2 linked regions of the Macaca fascicularis genome follow. Each later gene encodes a partner of the first gene's protein in a complex. Links are inferred from orthologs where the notes say so. Each region holds a gene or a part of one and is shown on either strand. Other genes may lie near its edges.

The links. The genes of interacting proteins can lie anywhere in the genome.
Region 2: CDHR5 (region 1) and ANKS4B share a complex: the UniProt entries of both Homo sapiens proteins name them as parts of the IMAC/intermicrovillar adhesion complex. The link is inferred for Macaca fascicularis from reciprocal best matches to the Homo sapiens genes CDHR5 and ANKS4B.

What each region holds. Positions count from the first base shown.
Region 1 is NC_088388.1:522,802-530,508, reverse strand, and holds the start of CDHR5 (cadherin-related family member 5), read left to right. Parts: upstream 1-2,788; 5' UTR 2,789-2,828; coding exon 2,829-2,913; intron 2,914-3,003; coding exon 3,004-3,179; intron 3,180-3,449; coding exon 3,450-3,500; intron 3,501-6,230; coding exon 6,231-6,323; intron 6,324-6,470; coding exon 6,471-6,572; intron 6,573-6,678; coding exon 6,679-6,789; intron 6,790-6,875; coding exon 6,876-7,046; intron 7,047-7,707. Other genes in the region: SCT (secretin), read left to right, coding at 582-652, 735-836, 934-1,026, 1,200-1,311. UniProt on the Homo sapiens protein: Intermicrovillar adhesion molecule that forms, via its extracellular domain, calcium-dependent heterophilic complexes with CDHR2 on adjacent microvilli. Thereby, controls the packing of microvilli at the apical membrane of epithelial cells.
Region 2 is NC_088394.1:20,666,667-20,674,663, forward strand, and holds the start of ANKS4B (ankyrin repeat and SAM domain-containing protein 4B), read left to right. Parts: upstream 1-3,803; 5' UTR 3,804-3,840; coding exon 3,841-4,004; intron 4,005-7,997. UniProt on the Homo sapiens protein: As part of the intermicrovillar adhesion complex/IMAC plays a role in epithelial brush border differentiation, controlling microvilli organization and length. Plays a role in assembly of the complex.

The DNA of each region.
Region 1 (7,707 bases):
GAGGACGAGAGAGCCTGAGAACGGATTTTGGGAGGATGGGAGAGTCTGAGAACGGATGGTGGGGACGGATGCACGGAAATGTCAGCGAACCCAATGATCCTGAACCCTGCACTTCAAAGCGGATAAAATGGCAACACCGGCCCCCACAACAAAGTCACGCCGCTCAGGCCTTCCCGACGAACTCGCCCCAGCCGGGTGCTCCAGGGGCCTCCGGAGCTCCTGCCGCCGCCCCTTTCCCGGGGTCCCCCAGTCCCCCCAAATCCTCCCCCAAGTCCCACGGCCCCTCCGTCCCCGCGCCCCGCAGGCTCCGAGGCTTCGCGGTGCGGTTCCCTCTGCGGGTCCCGGCCCGGGTCCCCTTCGCCCCCCAGGCCTGGACGTCCCCCTCCCCCAGCCGGCCGAGGGGCGCCAGCGCGGCGGAGGGGGCGGGAGGCCGGGCCGGGGCGACAGCTGGGGGGGCGGCCCTGACCTTCCCGGGATCGCTGGGCGCGGCCGGGCCGTCCCCCTTCCGGGCGCCGCCATAAAGGGGCCTCGCGGGGCTCTGGCCGTGGCCGCAGCGCTCAGCTCCCGCGCCCGACCCCGCCATGGCCCCCCGGCCCCTCCTGCTGCTGCTGCTGCTCCTCGGGGGCTCCGCCGCGCGCCCCGCGCCCCCCAGGTGAGCCGCCCGCCAGGCCCGTCCGCCCCCGGCCGCACCCGCCCCCCGCGCGGCCCTGACCCCGACCCCCGCCCGCCCCCAGGGCCCGGCGACACTCGGACGGGACGTTCACCAGCGAGCTCAGCCGCCTGCGGGAGGGCGCGCGGCTCCAGCGGCTGCTGCAGGGCCTGGTGGGGAAGCGCAGGTGAGGCCGGGTGGGGCGGGGGTCTTGCCGTGGTGCCCTGGCAGCAACGCGCGACCCCCCACCTCCAGGACTAACTCTGTTTTGGGGCGGGGGACAGCGAGCAGGACGCAGAGAACAGCACGGCCTGGTCCAGGCTCAGCGCGGGTCTGCTCTGCCCGTCCGGGTCCGACACGCCCACCCTGCAGGCCTGGTGAGCGCCCGCCCCACCGCAGACCCCACCCCAGACCCCACCCCAGACCCTTCCTTCTGTCCGTGGCCTCCCTGGGTCAGCGCTGGTGGCCACCGGAGGCCCAATTCCAGCGGCGGGGCCGGGGTCTCCAGCCCCAGCCCCAGCCCCCAACCCCGCACGTGCTGTCTCTGCAGGATACCCCTGGGCGGGGCCTGGTCTCCCTGGCTGCCCCCCGGGCCCAGGCCTGGGGTTATGGTTTCAGAACCTGCCGGTGCTGCTGCAGAAGGAACCCTGCGACCGAGATGAGGAAGGAACCCCCTCACCACCTGCCCAGCCTACGAGCGGAGCTGCATTTGGGGTGGTGGGCAGGCTGGGGGGAGAGGGGGAGGGGTGGAACTCGGCACCAATAAAGGAGAATCAGATCCAGACACTGGGAGTTGGTTGTGTCCACTTGGTGTAATCGAGGCAACCCCTGTGTAGCAGGGCTGTCAGATGGAAGGGGGCCCCATCCACCCAGCCGGGACTGTGACCACACCCAGCTGCCCTTTACACCTGGCGGCCACAGCGGGCCCCTCATCCTTATCTCTGGCATCAGTGCCGCCTCCTGTACATCGACTAAGCACCGCAGGGCCCCGCCCCCCCCTTGTCTTCATTAGGAAACAGTCAAGGGCTCAGGGGGAGCCCGGACAGACTCTCAGCTCCTGCAGGGGGGTGGGGGGTGGCGTGTGGTCAGTGTTTCCGGAAGGGGCAGTGGGGAGGGTGTGGAGGGGCCAGGGAGGCTCAGGCGGGCAGGAAGAGGGGAGGGCAGAGGTGTCACCTGGGGTGCCAGGAGTCCACTCTGGCATGAGGACTCCGGACCCTCTGTCTTGTGTGGCCTCAGACCAGTGGCTTGACCCCTCAGAGCCTGTGGCGTATGGAGCGTGCAGGGCTTGCAGGCGACCATGAGGGTACAGTGCAGGGTTGGGACACTGAGCCCAGCCCCAGCCACGAGAGGCCAGAAGCTTCGGTGCACAGGCCTGGAGAGGAATGACTCCACTCCCCGCCTCACGACAGCCCCTTCCTCGCCCTGACCCCAGCCAGTGGCCTCTCCCTAGAGCTGGGGGCTTGCGGGGGCCAATGAAAAGAGCAGGGCAAGTGTCAAGACTCACCTCACCCCCTCTGTTGGGCACCAGGGCTCCCCAGGAGCTCCCAGCTGCCCCCCACAGCCCCGCCTTAGCCTTGGTCACTAAGGCCCTGTCCAGCCCCACCCTGAGAAGCTGGCTTGTCTCTGGGGCAGGCAGGCAGGGGTGTCCCTAGGACACAGTGAGGAGAGTCTCCTCCTTCAGAACCTGCCATCAGGCAGGCAGGGAGGTACTCCCGGGCGAACACCCAGGTTCTGAGCCTCAAGGGTTGGCCTTAGGAATTTTGCCTGAGGTAGAGCTTAGGGGAGGAGCCAAGCAAGGGCAGCCTGGGCTAGGGAGGCAGGTTTCAGACACCCCAACACCAACGGCTTCTCTCCAACACCCTAGCTCTGCCCCTGCCCTGCCCCAGCCCCATGGCGCCCGTGAGCCATTCTCTAGTCCTTTCTGCCCTGTGCCTCAGTGCCTGTGGCCTGAGCCCCCTGGTTAATCCCTGTACTCAGTCTAACTTGGGCCAAATGACTGCCCCCCTTCTGGCAGTGGGCCGGACCCGCCGGCCAGCGGGAGCCCCCTTGGCAGAGGCCGGTTGTAAAGGATCATAAAGTGGGCGGCGTCTGGCTGGGGCGAAGGTCGCTGAGGTAGGAACTGCGCCAGTCCTGGACGCCAAACCCACTCGGACCCTCCCGCCAGGTGACAGCCGCCAAGATGGGGTCTTGGGCCCTGCTGTGGCCTCCCCTGCTGCTCACGGGGCTGCTTGGCCGATCCCCGGGGGCCGTGGCCCAGGTCCAGTGTACGTGCGGGCAGGGGTAGGTAGGTGGGGGCACAGGGCAGGGGGAGCCAGGGGCTGGGAGGCGCTGACCCCTCCTCTGCAACCTTACAGACTGCTCTGTGAACAAGTCCTTCTTTGAAGTCGAGGAGAACACCAATGTCACCGAGCCGCTGGTGGACATCCATGTCCCAGAGGGCCAGGAGGTGACCCTCGGACCCTTGTCCACCCCCTTCGCATTTCGGATCCAGGGAAACCAGCTGTTTCTCAACGTGTCTCCTGATTACGAGGTGTGGGCGGGAGGTGGGTGGGGAGTGGGGGCTCCCGGGAGAAGGGTGCCTGGATCCTCAGGCCACACCTTCCCCGGGGGGCCCAGGAGTTCTATGCCTGCAGGCATCCACTAACACCCATGCTTGGTGGTGCCTGCCCCAGGAGGCTGGGCCCACACCCTCAGCACTGACCACTGATGATGGGGACCCTGGGCCAGCGCCTGCCCCCTTGGCCTCAGTCTCACCACCTGTGGGGCGGGACAGTGACTGCAGACCCGTCTGCCTCCACAGGAGAACTCACTACTTGAGGCTCAGCTGCTGTGTCAGAGCGCAGGCACACTGGTGAGTCCCTGCCCCACTCTCCCCGCCCACCAGGCCACCTCAGCTGGGCTCTGCCCTGCCGGTCCAGGGCCAGTCTCTGATGACCTCACCTAGGGTGTGGTTTCACATGCCATCCCTCCGAGAGTGATGCTCACATTTCCTCCAGTCCAGACTCTGCCCTGAACTGTGGCGTCCCCGTCACTGATCCCTTGTCCAGCAGATACCCCCACCCAGTGTGCCCAAGACTCCCACCCACTCCCTCAACCACCACTGCCCCCACAAGGGAGGCACCTTTATCCTGCCAGCCACTGGAACCACTTTGGTTTCCACTCGCCCTCCCTCCCCACGTCCCCCGCTAAGCTCCCCATTGGTAAATCACTTGGCTCTGCCCCAGCTCGACCCAGAAATCCATCGTCTGCCCACCTCCAGTCCCACCAGGGCCGGGACACCAGCACTCATTTTGGGAAACTTTCAGCCGGCCCGCTGGCTTCCCTGTTGCCCCTTGCCAGTCCCAGTCCACTCCATGTGGCGGAACAGCCTCTGTGGACGCTGTAAACCAAGGCTGCCCAGTCCACCCCAGCCCTCCACAGCTCCTTTCTCACTGAGAGTCAAACCCAGATGTACTGTGCGGAGGCTCTGCTGCAGCCTCAGAGCTCCCGCAGGCACGCTCCTCCCCCACCTGCTCAGGTCTGCAGTCTTCAGAGAAATCCCAACCGCCCTATTAGGGAATAGTTGCATCCCAGCCCCGCTCCCCCGACATCCTACTTCTTGACCAGCGGCATTTTTTTCAGCTTTATTAAGGAAAATTGCAGAATCCTGAGGCCAGCACAGGCCCCCGCCCCCCCCACACACCTACCAGCAGACAGAGGGCTCTGTGCCCACCGCACACCACAGCACATCACCCACATATATCTTGGCATGTGTCTCTGAAAGAGAGGGATGCTTCTTTTTTTTGCGACAGAGTCTCGCTCTGTTACCTAGGTTGGAGTGCAATGGCGAGATCTCGGCTCACTGCAACCTCCGCCTCCCGGGTTCAAGTGATTCTCCTGCCTCAGCCTCCCGCGTAGCTGGGATTACAGGCGCCCACCACCACGCTTGGCTAATTTTTGTATTTTTGGTAGAGACAGGATTTCACCATGTTGGTCAGGCTGATCTCAAACTCCTGACCTGGTGATCCGCCCGCCCCAGCCTCCCAAAGTGCTGGGATTTCAGGCATGAGTCACTGTGCCTGGCCGGGATCCTTCTTTTTTTTTTTTTTTGAGACGGAGTCTCGCTCTGTCGCCCGGGCTGGAGTGCAGTGGCCGGATCTCAGCTCACTGCAAGCTCCGCCTCCCGGGTTTATGCCATTCTCCTGCCTCAGCCTCCCGAGTAGCTGGGACTACAGGCGCCCGCCACCTCGCCCGGCTAGTTTTTTGTATTTTTTAGTAGAGACGGGGTTTCACTGTGTTCGCCAGGATGGTCTCAATCTCCTGACCTCGTGATCCGCCCGACTCGGCCTCCCAAAGTGCTGGGATTACAGGCTTGAGCCACCGCGCCCGGCCTTTTTTTTTTTTTTAGATGGAGTCACCCTCTGTCGCCCGGGCTGGAATGCAGTGGCACGATTTCCGCTCACTACAACCTCTGCCTCCCAGGTTCAAACGATTCTCCTGCCTTGGCCTCTACCCACCTCGGCCTCCCAAAGTGCTGGGATTACAGACGCCTGCCACCACACCCAGCTAATTTTTGTATTTTTAGTAGAGACGGGGTTTCACCATGTTGGCCACATTGGTCTCGAACTCTTGACCTCAGGTGATCTGCCCGCCTCGGCCTCCCAAAGTGCTGGGATTCCAGGCGTGAACCACCACGCCTGCAAGGACTCTTCTTTTTAAAACATAACCACAATGTCGTCACACCTGGGAAAAGTGGTCACTTTCTACCTCGAATGTTCAGGATGCCGCATTCCCCATGGTCTCTGAAGGGTTTTTTTTAACAATTGTTTGTTTGAATCAGGGTCCACGTTATGTACCTAGCTGATAATTCTCCTGAGTTTCTGTTCATCTTCACGTTTCCTTCTCCCATCTTTTCTCTTGGAGATTTATTTGTGAAGAAACTGGGTTGTCGGCTGGGCACGGTGGCTCACACCTGTAATCCCAGCACTTTGGGAGGCCGAGGCAGGCACATCACCTGAGGTCGGGAGTTTGAGACCAGCTTGACCAACATGGAGAGACCCCGTCTCTTCTAAAAATAAAAAATTACCCGGGTGTGATGGCGGCGCCTGTAATCCCAGCTACTCGAGAGGCAGAGGCAGGAGAACCGCTTAAACCTGGGAGGCAGATGTTGCAGTGAGCCAAGATCACGCCACTGCACTCCAGCCTGGGTGACAGAATGAGACTCTGTATCCAAAAAGAAAACAAAGAAAAGAACTGGATTGTCTTTCCTCGCTTGAGATTCTGCTGGTTGCATCCCCAAGTACCTGCATTATTTTTCTGTGGCGCACCTGCCACCTCCTGGCTTTATAAAGTCCTTTTTGTCTGTTGTTGTAAGTCCTGCCAGGACAGGCACCACCGGGCAGAGATTTGTCTCTTGTGATCTCTGCATCCCAGCACCTAGAGCTGTGCAGCCCCCCTGCAGCCCCCCAACACCACTGAGCGAGTGGACGGATAGCTGTCGAGGGGTGCACCTCACTCACGATGGGGAAGGATAGCGTCGAGGGGTACACCTCACTCATGATGGGGAGCGGCTGTGGGAGAGGCTGACGGCCACATCCTGCAGGTGACCCAGCTGAGGGTGTTCGTGTCAGTGCTGGACGTCAATGACAACGCCCCCGAATTCCCCTTTACAACCAAGGAGATAAGGGTGGAAGAGGTGAGGCCAGCGAAGCTGCCAGGGCTGGGCAGGGGGTGCGGGAGCCCAGGGTGAGGGCAAGGGGCGAGTGGTGGCCGGGGGCTCAACCACAGCGGGGGTCCACAGGGGCCAAGAGTGTGGCCAGACCAAGCCCCTCTCCCTCCCTAGGACACTAAAGTAAACTCCACCGTCATCCCTGAGACAGAACTGCAGGCCAAGGACAAAGACAAGGATGACCTTCTGTTCTACACCCTCCAGGAAGCGACCGCAGTCAGTGCCGCCTGCCCTGCCCCAGCGTGAGCCCCTCGCCACTGACACCCGCAGCCGCCCTCGCCCTCCCAGGCTCTTAGGCTGTGTCCTCCCTGATCCTCCCCAGGGTGCCAGTGACTACTTCTCCCTGGTGGGTGTAAACTATCCCGCCCTGAGGCTGGACCGGCCCCTGGACTTCTACGAGCGGCCCAACATGGCCTTCCGGCTGCTGGTGCGGGTGAGCGGCTCACCCCAGCCCTGAGTCCCACATGCTTGAGGTCCCCCTGGCCCCAGCTGCTCCCAGGCCTGATCTGGCTGTTGCAGGACACTCCGGAGGAGAATGTGGAGCCCAGCCACACGGCCACCGCCACGCTGGTGCTGAACGTGGTGCCTGCCGACCTGCGGCCCCCCTGGTTCCTGCCCTGCACCTTCTCAGACGGCTACGTCTGCATCCAAGCTCAGTACCACGGGGCTGTCCCCACGGGGCACACACTGGTAATGGGGAGGGAGGGGCAGTGCCCGGGGCGGGGCCTTCTAGGCAGGTTGGAGGCAGGGACGGCCAGGATCAGAAGAAGGGCAGGGTCAGGGTCAGCGGGTGGGGCCAAGTTTGGTTGTGACTTTGAAACAAATACAGACTCTCCTTATAAACCAATCTTTCCCATCTTGAGGGAGCAAACCCTGAACACACAGAGAGGAGTGTGGGCCCCAGAGCCAGGCGGTCTCAGGGGCCTGGGGAGGTGGGCTGGGGCCCTGGAGTTCTTAAGGGATGGTGAGATCTCTGCCCTGCTCACAGTCACCACTAGGCCCACACAGGCTGTCTGCAAACCTTCACAGCACCAAGGCACCCGGGGCCACCAAACAGCACATGAGAGGCAGAAACGCAGACCCCGGGAACCCCCCGCTTCCTAAATGTCTGCTTAGCCGTCAAGACAAGCATCGTGCAAATGGCACTCAGTATCTTTGGGCAACTTATTCGTTAGTGAGGGACCCACAGGGGTGTGACTCACTGTGATACTGGGACAAGGGACAGTCCTAGACAGGCAGGGATGCCCGGCCACCAGCGGGACTGGGCCCCTCCTCAGCCAGCCCTGCCCTGGCTGACCTTGATGGGGAGCCAGAGGGGCCAGGTTGGGGCCATTCACCCCAGCCTCACGAC
Region 2 (7,997 bases), on another chromosome or scaffold:
TGCAACTCGAAGACGAATTTTGCCCACTAATCAGAGCTTGCCAGCTCTCCAAACCCTCACTAGTGCCAATGAACTTTCTTGAAGGGCAATGTGTAACATTTCTCTCTTTAATAAAACCTCTAAACTTCTCTTCTTCAGACATACTGAAGACCACCTGGTCTATGTATATATCCCAAATTGCAAGTCTTTTTCCAAATAAAACATTAAATTTAGAGATTCAGCTCTAGATTTTTATTTTGACTTTGACAATCCTCATCCTCATTTTGTTTATGACCATCCTACAGGCCACCATTCTTCTCTTCCTCTTCCTCCTCATCTTCTTCTGAGAGCAGACCCTTTGGATGGAGTCTTAGGATTCTACTACAAATAATACATCTTTGAGAAGTTCTCTATCAGGTTATATATATTTTTTTATTTTTTATTTTTTTGAGACAGTCTTTACTGTCACCCAGGCTGGAGTGCAGTGGTATGTTCTCAGTTCACTGCACCCTCAGCCTCCCAGGTTCAATCGATTCTCCTGCCTCAGCCTCATGAGTAGCTGGGCTTACAGGTGTACACCACCATGCCCAGATAATTTTTGTATTTTAGTAGAGATGGGGTTTTGCCATGTTGGCCAAGTGGGTCTTGAACTCCTGACCTCAAGTGATCCACCCACCTTGGCCTCCCAAAGTGCTGGGATTACAGGTGTGAGCCACCACGCCTGACCTATTTTAAATGGCAAAATGCATTAATTAATGCAGTTGTATCTAAATTAAAGTGGCTCATATAAAAGTTGAGGAACAACCTTACCATTTTCTCAAAGTTTTCACAATCATGTTTGGATATGTCACTTTCCCTGGGCTAAAAACAATGTTTAATAAAAGCTAAATAATTCTGCCCTCCAGGCTGCTTCTACTGCTGTTCACCTAGAAGCCAGGAAAAGGAACAAACAGGGACCCTTGGCGCTCATTATTATTGTGAAGAAATTGCAGATGAAAGCTTGGTACTTTTTCTGAGTGAGTAAATAATTTATCTTGGAATAAAAACTTAGACAAAAAGAGATAAGATGAATACACAGTTACAGGCTTCAAAAATAGATATGTCTCACATCAATTTAGTGGACAATTATCCAAATATATTAAAGATTGTGCAACAGTATGGGAATACATTTATGATGGATTAAAGAGTGGAAAAGACGTAACGTAAAATTATATGTATTTGATGAAAACAATGTAAAAAATACACCACAGAAGAACATATGCATAGCTGATGAGTTATGTAAGGATGGTGGTTTCTAATTTAGTTGCAGTGTCTTCAGAGAACATGGTTTGCATGAACCCTGTTATTTGTTATTTGTTGAGAACTGCACTGCTTCTATTCAGTGGTCAGGTTTTATAAATATTCTATGTGTGCTTAGAAAAAACTTGCATTTACTATTGGGCATGGTGTCCCTTCTTCATGTGACTATTAGATCAAGCTTGTTAATTGTGTTCAAATCTTTTTTTTTTTTTTGAGATGGAGTCTCACTCTGTCACCAGGCTGGAGTGCAGTAGTGCTCTCTTGGTTCACTGCAACTTCCACCTCCCGGGTTCAAGCGATTCTCCTGCCTCAGCCTCCCGAGTAGCTGGGACTACAGGCATGTGCCACCACGTCCAGCTAATTTTTGTATTTTTAGTAGAAACGGGGTTTCACCATGTTGGCCAGGATGGTCTCGATCTCTTGACCTCGTGATCCGCACCCCCTCGGCCTCCCAAAGTGCTGGGATTACAGGCGTGAGCCACCGGGCCCAGCCAAAATATTTTATAGCTATACCAATTTTTAGTCTGATATAGAACATGATGATGATGTCTGAAATCTTCCCTTATGATTGTGGTTTTGTTTTTTTTCTGTTTAATTTTTGCTTTCCCTTTTGTGCAGCTATGTTATTCAATTTATACAAGTTTAAAACGATCATGGTTTCTTGATTAGTTGTTCCTTTCATTATCATGTATTCTCTCTCTTTATGCCTAGTACATCTTTTGGCTTAAGCTGTATTTTTCCTTGCTACCAGTACAGGTGATCTTCAACTTACAATGCAAAACCACCATAAGTTGATATAATAACTCAGTTGTGAGCTGAGAAGCATACTAAATTCCTGTCATTTTTGCACCATCATGAAGTTGAAAAACTAGGTCAAACTCTCATAAGTTGCAGACCATCTGTATGGGTACACAAATGTTTTGTTAGTATTTGCTTGCTATAACTTTTCCATCTTTTGCTTTCAATCTTTCTGCAATTTTATATTTTAGATGTGTCTATTATAAACAAGACATGGCTGAGTCTTCCACACTATAAATTTAGTCCATTTTCTTTTGTTTTTATTGCAGATAGATCTGGAAATGTTTTTGGTCTTATACTGTACTCCTTATAGTCATTTTTCTATACTTTTTCTCCTTCCCTTGAGTTATTGATAATAAGTTTAAGTTATTGATTTGAGATCTTTTTTCTTTCTCATATATGCATAAAAAACTACAAATTTTGCCCTAAGCTTTTCTTTAACTGCATCCTATAAATCTTGATATATGGAATTTTCATTTTCATTCTGTTCCAAATATATCTGATCTAGGACTTGTATCCAGAGTATGTAAATAATTCTTATAATTTATTAATAAGACAACCCAATTAAAAATTGGGCAAAAGATTTGAATAGAAGATGTAAGAATGGCTAATAGGCACATGAAAAGATGCTCAATATCTTAGTCATTAGGGAATTTAAAATTAAAGCCATAATAAGACCATTTCACATCCACTAGGATGGCCATAAACAAAAAGATAGGCAATAATAAGGCTGGTAAGGATGTAGAGAAATTGAAACCCTCATATGTTATTGGTGGAAATGTGAAGTAGTACAGCAACTTTGGAAAACAGTCTGGCAACTTCTGAAATTTAAATGTAAATTGCCATGCAACCCAGCAATTTTGCTCCTAGATGTATACGCAAGACACATGAAAATATGTGTCCACACAGAGACTTGTATGTCAGTGTTCATAGCAGCATTATTCATCATTACTAAAAAATGGAAACAACTCAAATATTCATCATATTCATGAAACATTGAATGGATGAAGAACATTTGGTATGTTAGTACAGTGGAATATTATTCAGGAGTGAAAAGGAAGAAAGACACTACTGTTACACGCTATACATGACAAACCTCAAAAAAGTTGTGAATTGAAACAAGCTATACGCTAAAGACTATGTATTGTAGGATTCCATTTATCTGAAATGCCCATAGAAAACAAATCTATAGAGACAGAAAGAAGACTGGTGGTTTCCTGGGATTGGGAGTGGAAATGGGATTGACAGCACATGGCACGAGGGATCTTTAAGGGCTGATGGAAACGGGATTATGATAATGGGCATGCAACTTTATAAATGTTCTAAAATCATTGAATTGTATACATAAAATGGGTAAATTTAATGGTGTTATACCTCAATAAAGCTGTTCTTTTTGGAAAAAACAGCTAGTGAACTACACTAGCTCTGCATTTTTTTAAGAAATAATTTCTTACATCCTGTGCCTAGATGGCCAATATTAACTCAAGAAACTAATGGGCATAGAAAAATTAAATGTGCCTCAAAACACTCAAGATGAATACAGCAGTCTTCAATAGTCAACGTCATGTCTATTTCAGAGAGAAAAGGTCCAAGTTCAGTGGCTTGAACCTTGTTGCCTTCCACGGAAGGAAGCAGTTGGAATGAGCTTTGCCCCTGGTGACACTCTTCCTTGTCACTAATTAACCAGCTCTATAGGAAGGTTGCTCCGCCAACACCCTTCTCTGCCTGGAGAGACATCTGGCCAAGTTCCGGTGAGCAGGAAAAATGTCTACTCGTTACCACCAAGCTGCTAGTGATAGTTACCTGGAACTTCTAAAAGAGGCTACCAAGCGAGATCTAAATCTTTCAGATGAAGATGGCATGACTCCCACTCTCTTGGCAGCCTACCATGGGAACCTGGAAGCCCTAGAGATAATCTGCAGTAGAGGGTAAGTTCAACCCGATGGTTTCCGTTGGAAACAGTGTTCACAGTAGGTTTTTGCAGATAGCAGCAAGAGTCAGGGATGTCAATACAAATACTTTATCCTCTTTCTAGATTGTCTAAATGATTGGATTTTTAGAGAAAGAGAGAAAACTATGCCTAGAGATGCTCTCTTTTCTCACTGAGGTCTGGCAATATGGGAGTGGCTCATCCCTTAGCCCCAATCAGAGGAGAGACTCTGAACTCTAAGGCATTATCTGCATGGGGAAGAGGGAAGATATTTTAATTCTATGCCTTTAAAAATGCTTTTCATGAAATTTAAACAGTTTTCTCTTTTAAAAGAGGCCATTATTTTACTTGGTTTTAAGTTGTCAACCTTGGTTGGAACAAATGAGTTTTTAGTTTTTTGTTTGTTTGTTTGTTTGTTTTTTTATCTATGCCATCAAAATCCCACAGTCTTTTATTAACTTTCAATCCCAGTGCAAGCTCATGATTTTTTTTATTTTTTATTTTTGACACAGGGTCTTGCTCTTTTGAGTGGAGTTGCTGGCTCTACAAGGAATCTTTAGCCTGTCTTAGCTCTATCACTTGTTTGGCTAGTGGATAGACACACACACACACACACACACACACACACACACACACCATCTCTTTGCCCAGATTTTAATGGAGGAGTCAGCCAACTCCTCTGCTTGTTCTGCCTGTTATCAGAGGGCTAGGTTGTGTTGGCAACCATAATGCAAGAGGGTAAAGAAAGAGAAAAGGGCAAGGTAAATAAAGGAGCCAGGTGAATCCAATTCAATATACCCATTTATTCAGTATCTGTTATGTGCCAGCTACTTATCTCTTAAGAGATATTTTGCTAGCCACTGGGCACACTGTGATCAACAAGACGGCCACAATCCCTGTCGTAGTGATCAGATTTGAGAGAGGAAGACAAGGCATCTATGATGTGTGTGTGTGTGTGTGTGTGTGTGTGTGTGTGTGCGCGTGCGTGTGTTTGCTTTGAGACAGGGTCTCACTCTGTCACCCAGGCTGGAGTACAGTGTCGAGATCATAGCTGACTGCAGCCTTGAGCCCCAGGCTTAAGTGATCCTCCCACCTGAGCCTCCCAAGTAGCTGGGACTAGAGGTGTGCGCCACCATGCCCTGCAATTTTTGTATTTTTTGTAGTGATGGGGTTTTGCCATGTTGCGCAGGATGGTCTTCAACTTATGAGCTCAAGTGATCTGACAGCCTCGGGCTCCCAAAGTGCTGGGATTATAGATGTGAGCCACTGTGCTTGGTTCATCTATGATATTTGTTACAAAAGAGGAAACAGAGGGTACTAAACAGGCATTTACCTCAATCTCAGGGGTGAGGGAAGGCTTCCCTAAGGGGAAAGCATTTAAGCTGGGATTAGGAAAATGAGAACAAGTTGGCCAGGTGAAAGAGTGTTTTCCCTAAGATGGAAAACTGTGTCCTGAGAACTAGAGAAGCTGAGTATGGCTGGACATGGCTCGAGTAGGAGTGGGGTCAGGGCAAGTGTGAGAGATAAGACCAGATCACAAACAGCCTTGTCAACTCTGGTAAGGACTTTATCCTAAGGGCCCAGGAAGCCATGTCTTAGGTTTATGCAGGGAAGCTTCCAGAGTAGATTTATGTTTACAAAACTCACTGAGGTAGATGGATAACAGTCGGAGAGAATGTTTGGGGATGTTTTAATGGTTGAGATGAGTTGGACTAGGGTAGTGACATTGGGAATGGGAAGATATAGTTGGATTTGAGTGGCAGTTTGGATGTAGAATCAATAATGATTGACTGGACGTGGGCAGATAAAGAAAAAGGAGGGTTAAGGTCCCAGGTTTTGGATGTTGACACCCTTTATTAAAGTAGGGAACATTTAGGAAGAGTCAGAAGAACCCAGGATTGGGAGAGTTCTCGAGTTGAAGATTGAATGAGGAAGTGAGTGAAGCAGATCTTCCCCATCTCTCTTGTCTGATTAAAACTTTCTTTTCTCAGACACATCGATCCCCATCAGCCAGCCTTCTCCAGTCATCTCATCTCTTCTATGCAGCCTAGGGTTCCCCAGCTTTCTCCATCTACAGAAAGGCTACCTCCTTCCACAAACTGCAAGATGTCAGTTACTTTAAAATCAATGTGTTAGCCTATTCTTGCATTGCTATAAGGAAATGCCTGGGCCTGCGTAATTTATAAAGAAAAGAGGTTTCACCGGCTCATAGTTCTGCGGGCTGCACAGGAAGCATAGGAGCTTCTGCTTTTGGGGAGCCTTCAGGAAGCTTCCAATCATGGCAGAAGGAAAAGACATCTCACATGGCAGAAGCAAGAGCAAGAGAGCAAGGGGAGAGGTCCTAGAAACCAGATCTAATGAGAACTCACTATCATGAGGACAGTACTAAGGGGGATGGTGCTAAACCATTCATGATCCAGTCGCCTCCCACCAGTCCCTACCTCCAACATTGTGGATTACAGTTTGATTTGAGATTTGTTCCCCATGAAATCTCACAGATCCAAACTGTGTCAGCCACTGAGTTTGTCCTCCTAGAAGAGGGTGTGGGGTTCTTCTCAGTCAGGAGAGAGCTCTTGTTCCATTTGAGGACCATTTTGAATAGTAATGCTTAGGTATTCTCTCTCTCTCACCTGTGAAAGCTTGAAATATTCTCTTACAATAACTGTTCTGCTGGTCTTTATTTATTTTTTATTTTTAATAGAGACAGGGTCTTGCTTTGTTGCCCAGGGTGGTCTCGAACTCCTGAGCTCAAATAATCCTCCTGCCTCAGCCTCCCAAAGTGTTGAGATTACAGATGTGAACCACAGCACTCAGCTTGGTTCTGCTAGTCTTTAATTACAAAAGTAACATGAGCTGAACCCAGAAAATTAAACCTTACATATGCACACAAAACATGAAGACAAAATGTCCTATAATGCCATGCTACTAAGATGTATATAGTTCTCTCTATATATAATATAGTGTGTATAAATACATTTTAATATTCTTCTATAAATTTCAGGGACTTTGTAGGACTCTAATCAGCAAATACATTTCTTAGCCAACCCCTCTCCTGGACACACAGTTTGTTTTCCCTAGTTTGAAAAGTGCTGTGATGACTATCCTTGTACATAAATCTTTGCTGACATTGTCTTTTTTGTGTGTTTTTTTGTTTTTTGTTTTTTTTTTTCTTTTTTTTTGAGATGGAGTCTCTCTGTCGCTAAGGCTGGAGTGCAGTAGCATGATCCTGGCTCATTGCAACCTCCACCTCTCGGGTTCGAGCAATTTTCCTGCCTCAGCCTCCCAAGTAGCTGGGACTACAGGCATGCACCACCACGCCCAGCTAATTTTGTATTTTTAGTAGGGACAGGGTTTCACCATGTTGGCCAGGCTAGTCTTGAACTCCTGACCTCAGGTGATCTGCCTGCCTCGGCCTCCCAAAGTGCTGGGATTACAGGCGTCAGCTACCAGGCCCGGCCATATTTTCTTGAGAATAAATTCTCCAAAGTGAAATTTCTGAATCAATTTGCATTTGTGTTTGTCCATTTGTACTGCTATAACAAAATACCTTAGATTAGGAAATTTATAAAAACCAGAAATTTATTTCTTACCATTCTGGCAGCAGGGACATCCAAGATCAAAGCACCAGGAGGACTGGTGCCTGGTGAGAGCCCTGTCTACACTTCCAAGATGGTACCTTGTTGTCGCACCCTCTGGCTGTGTCCTCACATGGAGGAAGGGAAGGAAGGGGCAAAAAAAGAGGCAAATTCCCTGTGTCAAGCCCTTTTATAAGGGTGCCTGACCCCATTCATGAGGGCAGAGTCCTCATGACTCAATCATCTCCTAAAGGCCACACTGCTTAACGCTGTTACGTTGACGATTAAGTTTCAGCATGAATTCTGGAGGGGACACAAACATTCAAACCATAGCAGCATATGTGCAATTTAAAGACTGTGTGTGTGTATAAATGGACATGTTGTCCTTCAGAAAGTGAGTATCCATTTTGGCCAAC